2 linked regions of the Neodiprion lecontei genome follow. The protein of the gene in region 2 purifies or fractionates together with the protein of the main gene of each other region. This does not show direct contact. Links are inferred from orthologs where the notes say so. Each region holds a gene or a part of one and is shown on either strand. Other genes may lie near its edges.

Region 1 (10,785 bases), on a different chromosome or scaffold from region 2:
TAAAAACAAAACAGTATTTTTAGATTTTTCTATTACTTTAGCATTGCGAGCTCGCATTGATTACAGATGTATGAATTGCAGAAAACAAGATCTTAATAAGTATTATCTGAGCAGCACATAGTGATAATAATAAACTGCTTCATGGAATATGGTGTTCTGAATATTCGTTTCCTTTCTTATTTTATGCTCTGCCATGTTAAATTCATTAATTTTGCATTCATAAGTGTAATGGTGATAAGAATTTACCCGGTTTAATATGTATATCACAGAAATTGTCTCACACTGGTATTGTTTCAACTCATTATTCAAGATTATGAATAATAGGTACACATATAGACAGTATTTTATATACAGAAAAAATAGAGCCAGATTTCACTGGATCATAAATTAATCTTCTGTGATCAATTTCTTTGTTTCAGGATATACCAACTATGAGATTATGTTTACGTAAGCCAAAATCCAGTAAAAAAGTTCAGTGGACACAAGGAACTGTCGATAATGAGCATATGAATAAAAAAAAGTCTAAATGTAAATTTCCGCTTAAGTACACGCATATAATCAAAATTAAAATTTGACTCGCTTTTCTAACATAATTCGTAATCTACAGGCTGCTGTATATACGAAAAACCAAAAGAATTTGGTGAGAGTAGCTCAGAAGACAGCGATGATGAGTGTGAGCACTGTCATGGGCACAGAGATATTCATCATAAGAATAACTCGAATGGAAATGAGGCACCTCAAGGAGCCATACCGTCTCAACCTGGTACATTTCTTGTATTTTAAACTTTGTATGATTTTTATCGTCTATTACAGGATATACAGAAAATTGTTTATTTACATTTAACGTTCTGTTTCAGAACCAATTGCTACAGGATCTGCCTAATTTTTAAGGGTTGAAGCATTTTTAGAAATGTTGATAGGTAACCCAATGTTGGCTTCGCATCTTAGATTTGAGTTCATTGTTAGGTTGACAAGGTTATGTAAAACTTTGAAGGATATTTTGCCAGATTTTTTATACGGAGTCTTTTCACCTTTTTTCCAAGCGATATTACCTATTCACTTGGAGGATAGATCTGTCTTAAAAATGTAGCCATATTCGTTGCGTAATTCCATGAACATACTAGTAGATGAAGAGATTTCTGACACTTCATTTAAATAACAAATAGTCAGAAATCCAACATAGTAAATGTGTCAAAATCAAAATTATCAACTGACTTCTGAGTTCTAATTGCTGATTTTTATCTACTTTCTAAACAGCTTATAGAAAGCTGTTGTGCTAGTTAAAATTTGCAATTGCTCTGTATTTGACGCAGGCAATTGCAGTTTGTGTATAAATAACTATGATGTAATAGTTACAATGATGAGTTTTGTCGAAGTCTTGACTTCCAAAAAATTTCAAGGTGAAACAAACACTATAGTCGATCAGTCAATCTTTGGAAATTATACACATTCATATGATAGTTGAATTACATACTGTAGTGAAACTTCGTGTTTTGATCTATACCCATGATATGTCATTTCAACTGATGAAATAATCGTGAGAGAAGGGAATACAAATCTTCTCTAACTAATAGTTTTACCTAGGTCGTAATGTTTTCAATCTTCCAATTGTAGACACATTGTCTTGGGTGTTGCTCAATATTTGTTGGGTATTGGTTGTGCGTTGCATATGTAATGAATATTCTTAGGAACTCTTGTATAAAATTGAGATCATTTGATTGATTTATTTCGAAATCCTAATTTTCAATATTTGTTTTTTAGAAACTGTTATTTCTACTTGACATTAAATAGTTTCAGTCGTAAATTAAATTACAAGGAAAAATTATTTAACGAATCAAATTTGTAGTTTTGCTTTGTAAATACTTTTGCTATACTTGAAGCTAAATAATGGAGCACAATAAATTTATTTTCGAATTTGCATAATCGAAAGCTCCTATAACATAAAATATACAACTAAGTAACTTATTATGCAATACAAGTGCGAAAGAAGCATAGGTCAAGCACATTGAGTCCCACATTAAAATTGAGTATTTGAATATATGCTCTTTTTTTGAAATATTTCGAAATCAAATTTAATTTATCGTGATAGAAAGGAATATATATTTTTATACAAGGAAAATTATTTTTGAATAATTTTCAAAAGATGTTTAGTTCACAATTAATCATCGTTTGCTGTAATTCCTTGTCATAAAAGATAGCTATATTTCGCTTCTGAAAAATTCATCTAATCAGCATTCCATGTATTTTTGATGTACAAAGGTGTCCTTTCACGGTTCACTGTATCATACATGTAATGAGTAAAAAAAAGAGGGAAAAAAAACATGGTTGTAAAGTGTGGAATTAAAATTTTGAAGGAAAAGCTGAACAGGGAACAGAGCTCGTGACGTTAGTATTATGTTTATTCTTAAATTAATGTACAATATGAATTAAGTACGTCTTGTATACTTCACATCAACTGATTTAATTAAGATACGATTTGCAATCGACATATAAAAATTACATATTTTTGCTATTTACAGATCGACTTGATGGTGAATCACAGAAATTTTTTTCCCCACTGCAGACTAAATACAGTTTCTGGAATATAATATTTTCATCTATTCCTTGTACTTCCATTTTTTGAATTGTAATTTACCATGCCAAACAAATGACAAAAAAACGTTCATCATGAAAATTCATTAAAATTGAAGCTATTGTAATTCAAGACTATGATGTCACGTCTTGCGCATTGCAACTTTTATGCCGGATGTTTCTGTCGTATCTAATACGTCATCAATAATGGAATTGTAGCATGCACGCTTGTGAATCTACAGTTATATATGCTGCAATATCTATAAATTTTAGTCAAGTTACAAACTATACTTCAAAGTAGAAGTAATTCAAACAACTTATAACGAAATTTTCAGTCGTGATTCCTGCACGAAAAAGTGAAATCTTTGAAACCAGTAGATATTCATACAACTGAAGAAAACCGTTCACTTGTACATATTAGTTATAACCCTACACCTAGTGAAGTCACAACATTGCAAATTGTTAATAAACAATTGATCTTTCGTTTGTTCAACTTCCAAAATTTTAATTTTCCAAAAACCTTCGCATCAAAAAAAACTCAACCGAACATCAGGTTTCTTTCACAGAATTTCTGGCCAGTTGAGTTCGATCAAATATTTTCCTCAAGAAACTTGGACATTAAAAACAATACGATAGTATTAAATACAGTGTTTTTCGAACATAAGTCGAGGTCTCTGGTGCTGGTTTGCTTTAAAAAATTTGTACTCAACTGATATGAGCGATTGACTTTACAGGTATATTTGAAGAATAATTACTGAAATAAAGTCTCAGAATCAGAAGTCAACTTACATTCAGGGTCGACTTATGTTTAATACAATACAGCATATATTGATGTATAAAATAATTGATGTATTACCCAATCAACGTATACTCATGTACATAAGTAAATTAGCTGCAAGATAAATATTGGTGTCAACAAAATCAACCAGATTTCTTTGTCTAATTGAGTTAAAATGGCTGTTAATCGCAATGTAGACTAGTTACTCCAATTTTTATAGAGTAAAATTGCACTATTCTATAATAGACATTGTACCTTGTATGAATTCAGATCATATTTGGTGCGATTAAATTCCAATCCTTTTTAAACTCTACACCGGTACTTCAATTTATTTTATAATCATTCCAAAATCTAACTTCCCGAAAGGACTTCGTGAAAAGCTAAATTAGTAATTAATATTGCGCAAAGGTTTTTAAATTGGAAATTGAATAGCTTTTAATCAGTCAACGTTACAGCTGCTCCTGTGATACCGGCATCGTTTTCTTACTTCCAATCCCCTGCGATACATTTCTTCATTTAATCCCAGCTCTTTGACCATCGATCGACTTCGCCAAACTTTAACTGTGTAGTCATCGCTGGTGGTCACAAGCATTTCAGGATCCTTCGGATTAAATGCAACAGAGTTTACGACATCAGAATGCGGTAGTTTAGCTAAACATACTCCGTAATGTCGATCCCAAAGATAACCATGCTTATCCTCTGCTCCACTAGAAAGTACATTTAATCAACATTTACTATTATTGATATTTATTGTCTTCTTTCAACTATTTTTGACAAAGACTTTAATATTGCTTATCATTATTGCACATCATATCATTGCTCATTAAGGACAGAGATATAGTCTTGAACTTGATTGAAAGTGAAACTTGGATGAGTTATAAATAGTGGTAGAATAAAGCGTAATTTTGTCAGGTAGGTCGACCTCGGTGTGAGATATACTAAGGTTTTCCCTATCTGTACATCGTAACTTTCGCTATTTTTGAAAGGTTAACATCGTAAAAATATACACTGTTACAAAAAGAAGAAGATCGGAAGGGCGAGTATTTCTCAAAAACTCATATTTTACTTAAAATTCTGCTGAAGTTGTTCAAAATACATGTAAAATATGCGCGTGTAGACTTACCTTGCAACATATTCATTGCACACATCTAAGAATATAAAAAAACATTCGTGATTCGGCGTGTAAGCCTTGTGCGCCCGTAGCATTGTACCAACTTGTTTCAAAGTAACCAAATCGATAACGTGAATATCAATTTCTTGAGCAATTGGTGGTGGTTCCAACGGGTTTGTGATAACGTAGCCCCTTGGCCACGGTCTTGTATTAACATACAAATATCTGGGTGACAAAATCAATCCTGAATTATGATATGACTAAACTAGTATTATAGAAGTGGGTTCAATATAAATTAACATTGCTAATTTGCTGTTACATTCATGAATTAGGTTTGATTCAATCAATCGTGAAACACACCTGTGATCTGGAGATAAACTCATTCCGATAACATGACCATGAAGATCTATGAGATGATCTACTTTGTCAAATTTATCGGCGACAGCATTATAGTCCAGCCAATTAGGCTCGGTTCTAGGCGATCTGCAATTTTGTCTCTCGCGCTCGCGTTCTCGCTGGGCAATCCTCTCTTTTAAAGAAGGCCCAGGATCAAGACGTCTCGGAAAACTCATCGGCTTGATACGTTTAAAACCAATTTGGTGGGGAGTGTAAGTTTTTGACCCAGTCGTAAAAATGAGATACTTCTCCGGGCTGTCAGCTAAATCGTCAGAGTCACAATCCTCTCCATCTGATGACTCTGTAAATGTAAATGCGAACAATAATTAATAATAAAATCATTTTCAAAGAAGTTAATTTCTCACTCACCTGTTGTCTCGCTTTCTTCTTCCCACGTCAGATCATCATTTTCGCAACTATGATCTGTCGTATCTTTTTCGATTTCCACTTGTCGGTAATTTTCGTTGTACTGAATGGGACTTGCATACTCAAACCCATCGCCGAGCCTTCGCCAGTTAAGAAACCCACCTTCCAGTGTGCTGTATCTGAAGTAAAAAAAAAACCACAAGATTGACTCTACCTTGAAAAATAACTATGATTGACTAAGGTCTTAAGTCAACTCACTGCAGTCTGGATGACGCATGATGTAGAACTTCAGGTTCTTCAGTCTGCTGTTGACCATTATTTGAAGACATGGAGGATAGCTCTCTATGGCTTGGCGGATTCCCTTTCTCTTCTCTGACATCAGAAGTTAATGGTTCATTTTGCTGAGTTTCAGTTTTCGGCGATGCGGGGGATAAACAATTAGCTACCATCACAGCTCTAATCGAGGATGCATTGCTGTTGTAAAATCTATAAGAAAAGGTCACATTACATAAGAATTGTTATGTAAATCTTTTCCTTTTTAATGCAATTCCACTCACCGATACAATTGATTCATTATCGGTACATGTTCGCTGGCTGACTCTTGGCTAGCTTTGTTCAGCCATAACACACTTGTGCTAACCAAGTGTGCTAACCAGTGCAGATCTCCGCTTAGTAAGTGTCGCTCGCTGTACCATGTGCCGAATATGTCATAGGGTTTATTCACAACTCTGCACTGAAGTTCAAATCCAGCTGTAAATAAATTTGGAAGTGCAAACATACCAAAAATCTTTTCTTGACAATTTGAAATTGGCTTTCTTGGCATTAAGCAGTCAGAATCCAAGCTCACAGATCATAGGCCATAAATAATATTCTTGACATTTCTCAATTGATTTAGTTTCTAGTTAATAATCTAAATTCGAAATTTGAAATTTCCATAGCATGAAGAACACAATATGTTTGCAAGTTATGGTCGGAAGTTAGAAGGGTAATATCAGAATCCTAAATTTTGGATTTATTCGAGATTATACAGACAAGTCATTGCCACTCTACTGTTCTAAAGAGGAGTATTATTCTTTGTAATCCATACTCACGCTCAAGACTAAAGACTGCAATTTCTCCAGAGGTACTGTGGGGAGTTCCAAAGTGAACTCCAGATACAAGAAGCAAGGTATCGGATGAATTGAATTGAGAAAATTGTGTGTACTTCCAGCTAAATGTTTTCATGTCTCGATGGTATTTAATACTTGCTGGATAACTGCTGTTCCATACCTAAGAAATAAATATAAATTCGATAAAAGGTGCTGTTCTCAGCGGAAATATTGCAAGACATTGTATACAAATTTAAAGTAATATTGACCAAGTGTGCAATTGACAGAATTCTGAGACACTGACTCAATTTCAACTATTTGAAAATAAATTATAGTATTTAACAAGTTTTTACAATTATGTAGCCGTCTTTGGAGCATGTTGTGAACATTTGCCCATTATGCGAAAAGCTAACGTGCAGTACTTGGTTGGTGTGTTCTTTGCGGACCTCGGTTTCCAACAACGGAGTGTGGTAAGTAAGCCGTTTGAATTCTTGAAGCCAAGAAGTTTTGCCTGTAGCAGGCAAAAAATGTTCATCTTTGATTTAATTGCGCACTGTTATTTTCCAAATGCTTATTTATTTTCACCATCTATAAATAGATAACTTGGTGGTATTGCGTTTAACTTACCAGGCATAATGCTCACGTTCGGATCGATTTTGTAGGTTTGGTAAAAGAGATCCTTCCAGAGGAATTCGTCTTTGCAAACCCTGTGCCATGTTCTGCATACTTCTCCAACTGTCAGCAGCTCTTTTGGTGTAAGATATTGAAAAATGCTTAGAAGTACGGAGTCTGGCAGGTACCACCAAATGTCATGGTTATCGGAATTCTCCGTGTAATCTGTAAATGAATTTCTACTACTAAGCGGTTGACAGTTTTCAGCGGAATTAAATGTACCGTCCATTTCAGCGAAAGTCCTAGCTCAACTCTTTGTATAATATCACGGTTCTTTGTTTACTATAACAGCTGATGCCTGTCATCCTCTCTGTACCGCAGATCGAGCTTTTCCCTCCTGGTGATATCTGTGGGCCAGGAAGGAAGAGGGGAGGACACACAACTCCGTACTACGGTTTTCTGCACAGGTCCAGGCACTTCGTCTCTAAAATTGTGACGGTAGTGAACCCGATGTTGTGAATTTTTCCCGGTAGCGCTGGTGACGGGGAGGCCAATGCATTTGTAGTAACGGCCACCGAGATTGCAGCGCTCCGGTTTTTGGTGTACAAACTAAGAAGTATAGGCCTCAAAACGGTTACGCGGCGTTCAATAGTAAGGGGATAGGAGTGCCAAGAGTGGCCCAGATTTGTGTAGAAGACCGTACTCCGTAATATTTCTGATTATAGAGGTGGGACACATTCGGATCGAAAGCTGGAGTACCGATACCGCCGCTCGCAGCGTTGGTTTCGTCCGTTGCATCGGAAAATTGTAGTAGGATTCACAGCTCTATACGCGAAACGCCGTGACTCAGGATCTACCGGGTTTCTAGCAGTTTGAGCAGTTCAGTGACGGTTTACGTACCCGTAATTCGTCTGTTCTTTCTCGACGGCTACAGTGGAGTAATCATGGTTACGGTATCTGAAACACGCGTAGATGAACTCGTGCAGAGTGTCACCCTGCACGTACCTCGCAAATTGTTATTTAATGGTTACATATTGCCGTTTGTCGTCCTACAAGCCGTGTGGATTTACAGTTGGATTTTTATTTACGGTATCGACGAATATTACGATGCTGGTTTGGTGGGCATTGCGGCTATCGGATTGTTACAGATTTTCGTCTGCCTATGTTGTCAGTGGTCAGTCCACGTGCAAAGTTTTCTAAACTGCAGTTTTGTAAGTTTTTTTCATCGTTACCCGTACTCTCGCCTTAGTAATTGTCACTCTTGTCATTCCTAATTAACTATTTATGTTTAAATCGAGCAATATGTTTTCCTTACGCGGCAGCCATGTCAATTTATTCTTCTGCTACGATGGCGGGAGTTTCGTATTTCTTATGTCATGCTTTCACTACGTTTCCAAAAAATATAAGGTATAAATTGATATACCGTTAACTAATCTTCAACAACACCAGCGGTCTTTTATCCATTAAGCTCCTCTTTCTATACATCTATAATTATTCATGTTATTCGTAGACAAACGATCCTTACAAAGCTAAAGTAGCCAAAGTTGTTCCGACACCGAATAACGGAAGTTCAGAGCTTGTTGTACTACATCACAGCAGTAGTCAAGAGCCATGGTTCATTTTCCAAAAGACTAAGTACTCATGGGATCCAGATAAGAAGATATTCAAGGGCTTAGAGTTTCCTGTTGCGAATGCTATTCAGCATTATAATAGCTGGAAGGGCTATCAGGATGCAGAGGAAGTTACAGCCGCCGAAGAAAAATATGGTAGAAACAAGTAAGAACGTATTTGGATTTATTATCTGATACATTTGTATCCTTACATAGCACAATTAAATATAATCAAATCATTCTTTTAGTCTCGATATGGTTGTACCTGAATTTAGGGAGCTTTTTAAGGAGCGTGCCATTGCTCCGTTCTTTGTGTTTCAAGTATTCTGCGTTGCACTGTGGTGCCTTGACAAATATTGGTATTACAGCATATTCACTCTAATTATGCTTATCATGTTTGAGTGCACGTTGGTTCAGCAGCAACTTAGAAACATGGCAGAAATTCGTAAAATGGGTAATAAGCCATACATGATAATGGTAAGCTTTCAAGCATGATTATTTTCATAATAGTTCATATGTTTTATAAAATTAACACGTTAAAAATAAACTTCAAGCTTTTCATTTTCATCGTAATACAATGGATTTTTCAACAAAATTTGGTATAGGTATACAGGAACAGAAGGTGGCGAACTATATTTACTGATCAACTGGTTCCTGGCGATATTGTTTCCATTACACGATCACAGAATGACAATCTAGTTCCATGCGACATGCTTTTATTGAGAGGTCCTTGCATTGTTGACGAGAGCATGTTGACTGGTAATAGGAATTCAAGTTTTGATTCAAATTCTTTAATTCCAATTTGTGCATTATTAACTCCAGTAATGAAACGCAGGAGAGTCAGTACCACAAATGAAAGAACCTGTCGAGGGACTTGAAGGAAACAGAGATTTGAACATCGATGGGGATAGTAAACTACATGTTTTGTTCGGTGGCACCAAAGTGGTCCAGCATACGTCCCCTGGGAAAAGTACAACAGGTCTTAGAGGCATGTTGAATAATTAGCAGGACTTGTCTGTTCTAATAATATTAAAGTACCTCATTGACACACTTCATCTTCTTTTTCCTACTTTAACAGCAACCGACAATGGCTGTGTGGCCTATGTTTTGCGAACTGGCTTTTCAACGTCACAGGGAAAACTATTAAGGACCATTCTCTTTGGAGTGAAACGAGTAACGGCAAACAACTTGGAAACATTTGGCTTTATTTTATTTCTGTTGATCTTCGCAGTTGCAGCTGCTGCATATGTTTGGATTAAAGGTACTAACATTTTATCAAATGTCAGTCACAGTTATTCTGTCGAATCTTTATTGTTTTGACCCAATCGTTTAAAAGCAAAATATATTCTTCACTTAAAATCGATTTCAGGAAGTGAAGACCCGACAAGAAATAAGTACAAATTGTTTCTCGAGTGTACTCTCATTCTCACATCGGTTGTGCCACCAGAATTGCCAATAGAATTGTCCCTGGCAGTCAACACATCACTACTGGCCTTATCTAAACTAGGTGGGTCACAATTAACAAATAATAATAATAGTAATAATAAAAAACCATCTTGAAACACAAGGACGTAAAGAATTTTCACTATTAAATATTGGTGTAGAAACTTCAAGTTTTTTAAACCCATTTCAATGTGTGTACATATATTACACACCATACCTACAATTTTGCTACTTGTTTAGGAGTCTACTGTACGGAGCCTTTCAGAATTCCATTTGCTGGAAAGGTAGAAATTTGCTGTTTTGACAAAACTGGAACTTTAACGAGTGACGATTTGGTTGTAGAAGGAATTGCAGGAATGAAGTAAGTCATCTACGAACTTTTACCGTTAAACAACCTCATTAAAATCGTTAATAAATTATTTTAGTGGGAAGTCTGATGTAATACCTTTATCTAAGTGTCCTGCAGAGAGTGTACAAGTATTGGCAACTTGCCATTCCTTGGTTCAATTGGATGATGGAATAGTCGGAGATCCTCTTGAGAAAGCTACTCTGTCTGCAGTAGATTGGAATCTTACAAAAGGTACATATCTTGGTTTTCTCGAGGAAGTATATTATAATTATAACTTTTCATATTGCTGTATATCATTCATACCATTCATGTTATTCATCTTTCAGGCGATGTTGTTATCACAAAGAAGGGAAAAAACCCAGGATTGAAAATTTTCCAAAGGCACCATTTTTCCTCCGCGTTGAAGAGAATGTCAGTTGTAGCTGGTTACATAACTCCTGGTTCTACAGAGCCGCATTATA
Region 2 (10,300 bases):
TTTGTCATTGTTTTTGTATCGTAGAATTATTGCTTCGTTTTTTTTAAATTTCATATCTTCGCTCGGTTTATCGGCGGATAAATATATATTTTTGTTTGTCGCAGAATAAGGAATGAAGTCAGGCGTCCGGAATTGCAGTTCGCAATAAATTATGGAGTTTGTTATGCGCGCCCAGACGCTGAACCTATCGTTGAACCAAGACTTCCGGACATTATTTTTGAAGAGTGCCCACGTATACTTACTAAATCTTGAAGATCACGTGTGGGGAAATCCCTAATTTATAACTAACTAATTTATTCCTTCAAAAATATACCACACACAATATATATTATATAATGTACTATAAGTATAATACTGTTTGTCTTATATTTTGTTCACAAACCCATAGGTATGTTCGATAAATTTTATTTTTAATCAATAAACATAATACTGCTGTTTCAGGTATTACCTAGATACATAATTTTCGGTACAATATTGCAAAATCGCAGGATTTCTAAAGATTTCGCATACTAAATAATTTCTCCTGATTGCTCTATACACATATCACTTGCCATTTTCTTACGCACGTGCTTTGAGCCCGCGCCACGTTTTTTTTTTTTATCCGCTACGTGAACCGATCGACTCCTTTTAGCAATTGGAAAGATCAAGACTCTCATTTTTCAATAAACACTGGAATGTAAAAAAATGTGGCTAAACCGGCACCGCAAATAATTCGAAGACCTAACAATAAGTCATCAAATCCCCTTTCTTCAGTCTAACAGGAGTATTATTATTTTCAGTGAATTTCTGGAATCAGATTAATCATTTATTTACTTTCGTTGGAGATTTCGGTTCAAATCTGGTGCTCGTCGACGTAAGCTAAAAATCAGTCACCCAGCTTTTTCATCGGATTTTATCGCCAACTGTGGAACGTTTATTACCAAATGTATACGTACTACATACATAATATGATTTTACAAATGCAGCAGGGACAATTTCGATACCGGACAAATACTTTTTCACTCGTCGTCAGTCGCCGGTCATAAACATGTGGACGTCTTGCCCCGAACTAATCATTTTCGTCGTCCTTTCGGTGCCGACGATACCTGCGAGCTTCAACGCGTCGTATTTCGAGTATACCAACGTTACGGTCATGTTGCTGTCCGAGCCTGCGTTCGGATTCTGATTCGCTTTCTGCATTAGGTTGCAAATTTCGCTGTAAAAGTGAGGGAACGTCGGCGGTGCGAAGAATATGAGGTGCCTTATACCCTTGAGGCGTATCCTACGGAAGAAATGGAATCGCTCGGAGTAAATGAGGAAATGCGCGTCGCTGTGGTAAAACATGTCCCTCGCCCTGGCCACCTTTGCATCCTTCGAATACTCGCAGATCTGAACGAAGCTGAGCTCCTCTTTCTTGAAGTAGTTGCGAACTTTCACGAAGTCAAAATAGGACGGCACGTAGATAACGGTGTGATTCATTATGCTGTCCTTGTACTGGGGGAGAATCTTCGAGACGAAGAAAGTGAACCTGGCCTCTATGTCGTGGCCGTGGTCTCGGGAATCGAACCTGTGAAACACCTGGGGCACTTGAATCACCGTTTGGCAAACGGTCCCGGAAGTCACCGGGTTCACGACCCTCGCTTTTCCCGCGTAGTTGAAGCACCGCTTGTTGAATATCGCGTGTATCTCGGGTAACGGAACGCCGGAGAATATCAGCGTCTGCCGATAGAACTTGGACCAGCCGTTCACCACCCAGCTGCGAACGCGAGAGAAATCCGTCCCGTGGGATTCCTTTGGCTGCAGATGTGCGTGGTCGAGGACGTGCAGCAGGTGGTCCCAATTCTGCATCGCGAACACCTCCGTCTGGTCCATCACGAGCAACTCCACGGAAGCAAGGAAATCGTAATCTCTGTCGGGTTCGCCCTCGGCGCCGACGAGCATTCGGAGTCCCAGGACGGACGAAATGATTATGTCGGACGAGTAAAAGTCCGAATAGAGTTTCAACGTTTTCTTCGTCACGGATATGCCGATTTTAAAGGTATCGTCGACGTTTCCTTCGAACGTTTGCTCGTAATCTTCGGGCTTGGGATTTTTCCTCGGCATAGCGAGTTCGTTGCCACTGAAATCCTCCATGAATCGAAGTTTGTTCACCACGGACCCACCCTTGTCTTCCCCGATTAAAATCGCGATCAGTAGCCGAACGATTTTTAAACACGAGTGCCTGAAAGGGACTATTATAAGAACCTTCGGCCTGACCAAACCCTGATCCCGATATTCATCCGGTGTATCCGCTATCCCTGACTTCTTGGCTTTTGTCAGTTTCGCATTGTGATGCAAGACCTTGGTTCTGGTTTTTAAAACGTGATTAACCGCGTGCAAGCAATAAAGAAATCTAATTTGTTCGCCATTGGCGAAATTTCGCTCGTTGTAGCACAGATCTTGATAATTGTTAATTATGGTGAACAATTCTTTTTGCAACGGGGTTAAGGGACTAGGCTTAGACGCCAGACTGTCTTTAATATTATCGTAGTTTGCCTTGGAGATATTGCCTTGAATTTGTGACTTGATGAATAACTTGTCCCAGTCAACGTCGTCTATGACTTGCGGAACAGCTCCGTGTCTGGCAAATTGCTTGTCTTCCAATATCGAGACCTTGGGTCGTTTTCTAACAGGCTTAGAAAACTCATCCTCAACCTCTGGGATTTGAAACACAACGGTTCCGAGAGCGGGCCACTTCGATCTACTGGTGGCAGCCTTCTGAGGAGTTAGGGAAACGGATTTGTACAAGTCGTCGTCCAAATCGTTGAGCAGATGAATTGAAAACGGATCTCTGAGCTTCCCAGCATCTTCGCGCGCAGTCTCTTGATCCTCTTCCTCTTCCTCCCTCAAATTTATCTCGACATGTTCAGCGTCGCTAGCCTCGGAAGTGACGTGATCTACGCCCGAGTTTTTCGTCTTGAAAAGATTTTCTTCTTCGACGGAAGATTTCACCTCGGCTTCGTCGTCAGGCTCGGATTCAGACTCTGACTCACAATCGGAGTCAATGACAGGTTGCCTCTTAGTTTCAGCACCACCGATAGCTGAAAGCAACATTTTTAACGGATCCTCTCGTTCCTCTTCCGAACTCTCAGCCTCAAGTTCCAACTGTTTGCTCCTCTCCGCCTCTAATTTTCGCCTCCTATTTTCAATCTCTTCGTTCTTGGCATCACGTTCCTTGACATACGAGGCTTCCCTGATATTGAATTTACATTTTTTCACCTTAGGCTTATGCTCGAAACGTTTATCAAATTTTCGTCGATTCCCTCCGCGAGTCGGTTTTTTCCCACGAACCATTGTCAACCGTCCCACTTTCAATATCGCCAGCAATAATTCAATTCAAATGAACACGGCCTATCGACAACCAAAAACTGAACGCTTGCATTGGCAAGCACATGGTTTTCAGGTTAGGTTCCGTTGAGACAGCAGCACTGCGAACGAGGCGGCGGAGAAGGTTGGCACCAATGGATACCAAACATAGCAGACGACAAAGAGCGGGGAGCGTCGCCTTATTTGAAAACGAAATTGACACAGCGTATACGTTGCGGCATCTCCTCGAATGCACAGCGATCTCCGCGAAGCGAGGAAAGATTCGAGAATTTCACGGAGAATGATCCTTGTAAAAGTTATTGACGGAGCTGGTCTTGTCGATTGATGAATCGGACGAAACAGTTTTTTCCGAGCAGCTGCGATATTCCTGTCGACTAGGATGCGGCCAGAAGGAGGTGGTCGGTCATTACGAAACGGGCGAGTGGTACGATCAGTATCGTTCGAGCGACAGCGGCTGCTCGTTGACGCGACGAGGGACGGTTAAACGGTCGTCAACATGTGTGACAGGAAGAAGGAAGGAGCGATTAAATCAATTAGTAATTCAACCATCTGTTGAGAAAATATCCGGTTGCAGAGCGATATTATGTAGGATTGCCCGGTGTTGGCAGAGTGTCGGTCGGCTGGGGTGTGCGCGCGCACCAACAACACTGGAGCGAGCCGCGACGATCAGCTCGCAGACAATTTCGCTGCGGGTTCGGATCTTGTACTCGGGACTCGGCGATTCCGCGATATTGCATGGTGGTGGTGGTGATGGTGATGGTGGTGGTGGTGGTGTTGTTAAGAAAACAGTAACCACACTCTCGTCGTCGTTCGATCGAAGAGCCGGGATTGGTATAATCGCGGATCAATCGACGGTTAACTAAAATAGGAAAGGAAACACCCATTTCCTCGATTCTCATGAACTCCACCGTCGTTTCTCTAGTGGTAAGATGGCGGTGCAGCTCGATGGAGGGGGGAAGGACGACTTGAAAACACAATTTGTCACGCGAGAAGGAACGTACAAACTGATGACCCTCTCGGAGTACTCCCGACCTAACAGGGTGGGCTACACCAACAGCCAGGGCAGCGCCTCGGTCAGGGTGTCCTTCGTCACATTGCCCGATCCAGCCGATCCCACGGGAGCCCAGGGCCTCGGCGACCGCATGTGCTTCAACTTTGGCAAAGAATTATACGTATACGTTTACCGTGGCGTCAAGAAGGTACCTCCTCTTCTGCCACCTCGTTAAACCTGCCCTATTATCCCTGCGACTCTTTCGGCGCTAACTTAACGATACATAACCTCAAACAGCCCCCCTCCCCCCTCCGCCTCGTCGTTCCGACTCCATCTTCGCAACCACCACCACCACAACTCTCCAACCTCGTCATATTCTTCGCATTTCTACTTCACTTCGACTTTATCTATGTTACATTTACATTTACGTTCACTTTTAGTTCATCCTATGCTTTGTTGGCCTGTGTTATGCTGGTGAAAAAATTGATCAATGATAACACTAATAGAAACATGCAAACTTTTGTCAGGTTTCCTAATCTTGGCACACAGCTACGATTGCTTGGTTCTGAAATACAAATTCATTTTATAAGAGCTTAGGAACCGTTTTCTGAATAATTCTCATTCAAAATCTATCTCAAAGTATAATAGCAACTGTTTCAGGCTGTGGATCTCAACAAACCTGTTGACAAAAAGCTCTACAAAGGAACAAATCCAACCTGCCATAACTTCAACCAAACTACAGCCACTGCAGACAGCGCGCCACTGCTCGTCGGATTTTCCACAGGACAGATTCAGCTCATAGATCCAATTAAAAAGGAGCTTAGCAAACTTTACAATGAAGAGGTATGCATAACAGATCAATTCAAATCAAAAGCAAAAATCCATCCTATCCTGATGAGCAATATTCATTTCAATAACTGGGCAGCCAAAGCTAGGCACATTCTACGAGTAAAGGCTAGCTAAGGGCTCTTTGTCAGGCTTATTGCTGATTGCTGAATGACTGAGATACAGCACCGTTATTTTGCCGGCACGTGATAACCAGGCAATTAGCAACAGACACGTAATATGCTATCTGTCGCGACAAGTGAGAGTTTTTTTTGCTTTATTATCTGCCACAGATGGCTCCGCGTAACCCTACATCATTCAAGGTTGGCAGTACTGTTGTAACGCAACTATAACTTGATGAAATAATTAAACAGGCATTACATACTGTGTTATGCAATACTCCGCTTATCTCTCCGATCACTGACAATGCGCCAAGATACTAAGATCTCTGCGTATATTAAAGCTGTAATCTATTCGTATTTATTAGCTATGTTGTTATTCTCTACCAGTTGTAAAACCCTTTGACGAATAGATATGGCAAGGACTCGAGTTATTTAATTTACTGGGAAGATGTTGACATTAGTTGAAAGATAAACGCGACAAAGAATAATCAGCAACTGATGTTTGTAATTTCAGAGGCTAATCGACAAGAGTAAAGTGACCTGCATCAAATGGGTTCCGGGATCGAGCAATCTATTCCTGGTTTCGCATAGCTCTGGCCAACTGTACCTGTACAACGAAGAGCTGCTTTGTGGAACGACACCGCCTCATTATCAGCCGTTCAAATCAGGGGATGGCTATGCGATTCACACATGCAAAACAAAGTCCACAAGAAACCCCCTGTACCGATGGGTGATCGGCGCTGAGGGATGCTGTATAAATGAATTTGCATTCAGTCCCTGTGGCTCTAATTTGGCTGTGGTATCCCAGGATGGCTTCCTACGAGTTTTTCACTACGATACGATGGAACTAGTGGGATCGGCGAGGAGCTACTTTGGAGGATTCTTGTGCGTCTGTTGGTCACCGGATGGACGATACGTCGTAGTAGGAGGAGAAGATGATCTGGTGACGATATGGAGCTTCAATGAGAAAAGAGTCGTGGCCAGGGGCCAGGGTCATCACAGTTGGGTCAGTGTGGTCGCGTTCGATCCCTACACAACGTCCTACGGGGATCACGATCCAGATTTCAGTGGTTCCGACGACGAATCCATGCCTCACACTAATCACAATAATCACTTTCATGAGAAGCCCAACAGATTGTCGACAGTCTCCCAAGGTATTCATTCCAATAGAAATTCGTGCGGGTCGGAGCTAAGGGTGTCCGGAGGAACCTGCTACAGGCTGGGAAGTGTCTCCCAGGACACTCAACTCTGTCTATGGGATATAACCGAAGACGTTCTTCGGCCGCCAGTCAGTGCCAAGCAAAGGACGTCGACCGCAGGTTCGGGGACATTTTCGTCATCGGGAACATTTACAAGCGGGAATGGAGCAACGTCCAATCATAATTCCAACAATGCCAAGCATAACAATTTGAATAATATAGGTTTTAAAGAGAGCGCGAGTGGTAACAATGAAAGTAGTAATAATAGTATTAGCACCAATGCGGCAGTGTCTACCGTGAATTCATTGACTCAAAGGCTGGCGGGCTTGGGTTTCGGGGAGAGGAAAGGTGACAATCACAAAAGAAACTTTAGCCTAACGATGAGAGGAAGTGGAACGAGCAACAACGCGATACAAAATAATAGTGGGGAGAAATCTGGTAGTAACTCAAATTCTAGTAATTCAAACAGTGTTGGCGGGGGTCTAGGTACGAATAAAAAGTCCGGCGGTACGATGGACGATCCTATGAGATTGATAGGGACCGCCTGGTGTCCACGTTTCGACGAGTGCCCTGTTCTAGAACCATTGGTGTGCAAGAAACTGGCCCACGAGAGGCTGACTGAATTAGTGTTTAGAGAAGATTGTTTCGTGACAGCATGTCAGGACGGGTATGTCTACACGTGGGCGAGACCTGGCCACATGGTAGGTCCTCTGACGATAAGCAGCACCCTCCACAGGCCCCATCACCACACCAATCCTCATACCAACGCCAATTCTAATCGACCAAATGATCTCTGATGTAACCCATCTTTTATTGTTATTAAAACTCTATCGAATCGAGTTTATTAACTAATTATTAATCAATTAATTTGTATATACTAGAGATAGCTCAGGTCCGTAACTATATTGTTGGACAAATAATCAAAGGCCTGTAACTATTTTATCGAAGCCCTTGAAATTTATCTGATAACGACAAGCAGTAACTAACGTGACGGTCGTTGATGAAAATAAAAGGAACTAGAAGAATGTTACAGAACTTTCAACTATACTTTAATTCACTCCATACTGTATATGAATACAAATATTTACGAAGGAGCACGGATTGCGTGTGATACTGTCTCGTTTGGACGTCAATTGAAACATACTCGAAATTATCTGTTTTAGTCAGGCAGCGCGAGAGTTAGAGTCTGAGTATTAGAAAATCTCGACTACATGTTTTAATTTTGGTTGCAAAATTTGAGCTCTATTCTTGAACTAAGTAAAATTCACTTGACTAAACATCCAGTTTTCGTCTGAACGCAGTATTATCCCGACGCCCCTATCCTAATCAATGCGTTGAATTGAATATGTCAAAAAAAGAAGAGAAATGAGGAAGGAGGAAAATTGAAATCACGTTAAAAGAAGTCTAAATTATAGATTATATTTATGTCCGGTTTGCATCTCTGAGAGTGATATTGTTTATGCCCAGTAGAGGTCTGGTAGCCGGGCAGGTCCCACCCTCTCTCTCCCCGCTCTCCTATTTTCCGCAGGCCCGTGTAAAGTGTTACTAGCTTAGCTTAGCCAATCGTAGTAAAGCAATGAATTACATAGCGAGACTATTGTCCCAGAATATTAATAATGTGACATTTATTCCTTTGTTGGAAATGATGAATTGCCTTGTTGTAAAATAAAGCAAAAAGTTGAATGAAAAACTGCTGCTTGCTTCCTGCTTGAACTTACGTCTCTTTTTGTCCATCTGTTTCCTATTTTTAATTTCACTTTTATCCCTTACTTAACAAAGTTGCGTTCCTGCCGAATAGAAACATGCCGCTTATTCATATACCCAGATTTCAACAAATGTTAGCCTTTTGGTACAAAAACTTCACCTGTCTCACCAAACGTTTCCTTTGCTTGTACACCGATGCCGCTATTTAGATCTGTGTTAATTTTTCTTTCATAAAAAAATTAATATTCCCCGCGTTGCTTTTGGCTGACCCAAGAGGCCACGGATGCTGCCCTGAGTTTGCGCATGGTACGTACAAGACTTTAAATTTGTTTGATCCAGCTTTTAGCTTTTCCTATTTTGCTAATTGGAGATTTTCATAGCCGGTAGTCTCAAAAACAAAAAAAAAAAAAAACCCAGTAGCGTTATTTTATCGAGTAAAGTTAACCCGTTGTTTTTTTTTCTTGTATCTTCCACAGTATGAGGTTCTAACTTCGAGGTACATTCAATAATCCAAAGCATAAGCTTTAATAGTCATCACATCACATCAATGATCAACGATCCGGTCTAAGTTGATAAATTGAATTTCAGGGAAGCATAGGACAAATGGGAGCAGCTTTTCACGTAACGAGCCTAGTGGATGATGGCGGTACTATAGTGTAGCCACGGATGAACATCAACCAAACTTTCCCTGGGACAAGTTTATCATCCTACATCGAAACGCCACACTTTTGCCAGCAGAATATTACACTCCATTCCACTGCAGTTGTTACTTTACAATCAAGTATTATAACTCTAAAAGACTATTGTAAATTGATTCAAGTCCTATGCTATACATGTAGTATTATATACAAATCAAGTACGTCATTTCTTGTTCTCTTTCGATTAATCTAAATTCAGTTAAGATTTTCAATGGAATCTTCGATTTAATTTACATATGGTTTCATCAATGACCACATCGCGTGAAGCATGAAAAAGCTGCTATCGTTTCGTCTACCGATGATTAATCGTTGGGTCTAAGATCGAATTTTTAGTTGTCGATAGAAAACTTGAAATTCAGCACCATTTTCTCGTATAGGTAGATCACTTTTGTTACGATTATAGAAAACTAAATTTTGTCAGTGCATTGTCAATCTCGTATATTCTCATTTGTTCTTTAATCAATTAGCCAAAAAACTGTGTATGCAAAGCTCGGAAGTTCCTTTAGTAACTAGAATTTGAGATATAATTGTATGAGTGAGCGCAGCGGGGTGTCAAGCCAAAAAGTAATAAATATTGCAATTATAACTTGTCCGATAAAGTTATGCACTGTGTTGTAGGACAGATCGATTTAGCAAATCTAATATTCCACGTGGTGATACTGTACATTTTCAAGTACCCTAGTGCAAATTTGTCTCAAAGACAAAGATTTTACATAAATTCAGTATTAGGTTTTGAATTAGGTATAATATGCCTGCACGTTATTCCACGATACATTGGGTAAGTTGATTTTTCAAGTGAATTAGCATTGCAATGAATACGGTGATGCGAAAATAAAGACTTTAAACCGCAGTAAATTGTATGTTGGGGATATGCGCATATTACGTACAACTTGTATAAATTTACTTGTACAATTACGAAAACTTGATAAATTTCGTTGTAAGTTTATTAAAAAAATAACTAGTTTTGTTGCAAAATTTATTTTGCTACCACCGTCGACATATACGAGAGATTATACATATATACGACTGCGCAACGAGCATGATTAGCGAATTTTCATTTGTACGATAATATGCATACATTATTATGTGTACATTCTTTACGATCACTATAAATCAGAGCATTTAATTCTCAACTCGACGTTGTATCTTGTTAATATTTTCTCATCAATGACCCAACCCATATTTTCTGCAGCATGGATTCCTATTCCACTTATAGCCAGTACTATAAAGTTTTTTTGAAAATGCAACGCCAAGCAGAATTATATTTGATAGATTTTTATTTGCAGCAACTCACATATGTCTCGTTCGTTGATCTCTGCTCAGGATAAGTGATTATGTATTATCCGTTACGTTCTCTCCATGTTTCAAACCGCACATTGTTCCAACACATCACACACAAAATGCAACACACCATAG

What was found. Proteins that work in one complex are often made in the same cells at the same time.
Region 1: the proteins of WD repeat-containing protein 20 (region 2) and F-box/WD repeat-containing protein 5 purify together in Homo sapiens (co-immunoprecipitation; 3 studies listed by BioGRID and IntAct, counting the BioPlex papers as one, with this or other methods). This does not show direct contact. The link is inferred for Neodiprion lecontei from reciprocal best matches to the Homo sapiens genes WDR20 and FBXW5.

What each region holds. Positions count from the first base shown.
Region 1 is NC_060261.1:32,800,427-32,811,211, reverse strand, and holds F-box/WD repeat-containing protein 5, read right to left. Parts: upstream 7,401-10,785; 5' UTR 7,288-7,400; coding exon of another isoform or gene 7,266-7,287; 5' UTR 7,212-7,265; coding exon 6,938-7,211; intron 6,822-6,937; coding exon 6,664-6,821; intron 6,492-6,663; coding exon 6,314-6,491; intron 5,973-6,313; coding exon 5,780-5,972; intron 5,709-5,779; coding exon 5,481-5,708; intron 5,402-5,480; coding exon 5,226-5,401; intron 5,158-5,225; coding exon 4,821-5,157; intron 4,686-4,820; coding exon 4,473-4,685; intron 4,057-4,472; coding exon 3,789-4,056; 3' UTR 2,259-3,788; downstream 1-2,258. Other genes in the region: succinate--hydroxymethylglutarate CoA-transferase, read left to right, coding at 420-528, 608-763, 858-883; endoplasmic reticulum transmembrane helix translocase, read left to right, coding at 7,867-8,133, 8,433-8,698, 8,781-9,009, 9,138-9,291, 9,368-9,520, 9,611-9,793, 9,902-10,039, 10,216-10,336 and 2 more. UniProt on the Homo sapiens protein: Substrate recognition component of both SCF (SKP1-CUL1-F-box protein) and DCX (DDB1-CUL4-X-box) E3 ubiquitin-protein ligase complexes.
Region 2 is NC_060266.1:562,771-573,070, forward strand, and holds WD repeat-containing protein 20, read left to right. Parts: upstream 1-3,775; 5' UTR 3,776-4,274; coding exon 4,275-4,544; intron 4,545-4,984; coding exon 4,985-5,179; intron 5,180-5,797; coding exon 5,798-7,279; 3' UTR 7,280-8,172; downstream 8,173-10,300. Other genes in the region: uncharacterized protein LOC107216915, read left to right, coding at 105-252; U3 small nucleolar RNA-associated protein 25 homolog, read right to left, coding at 1,009-3,312. UniProt on the Homo sapiens protein: Regulator of deubiquitinating complexes. Activates deubiquitinating activity of complexes containing USP12. Anchors at the base of the ubiquitin-contacting loop of USP12 and remotely modulates the catalytic center of the enzyme.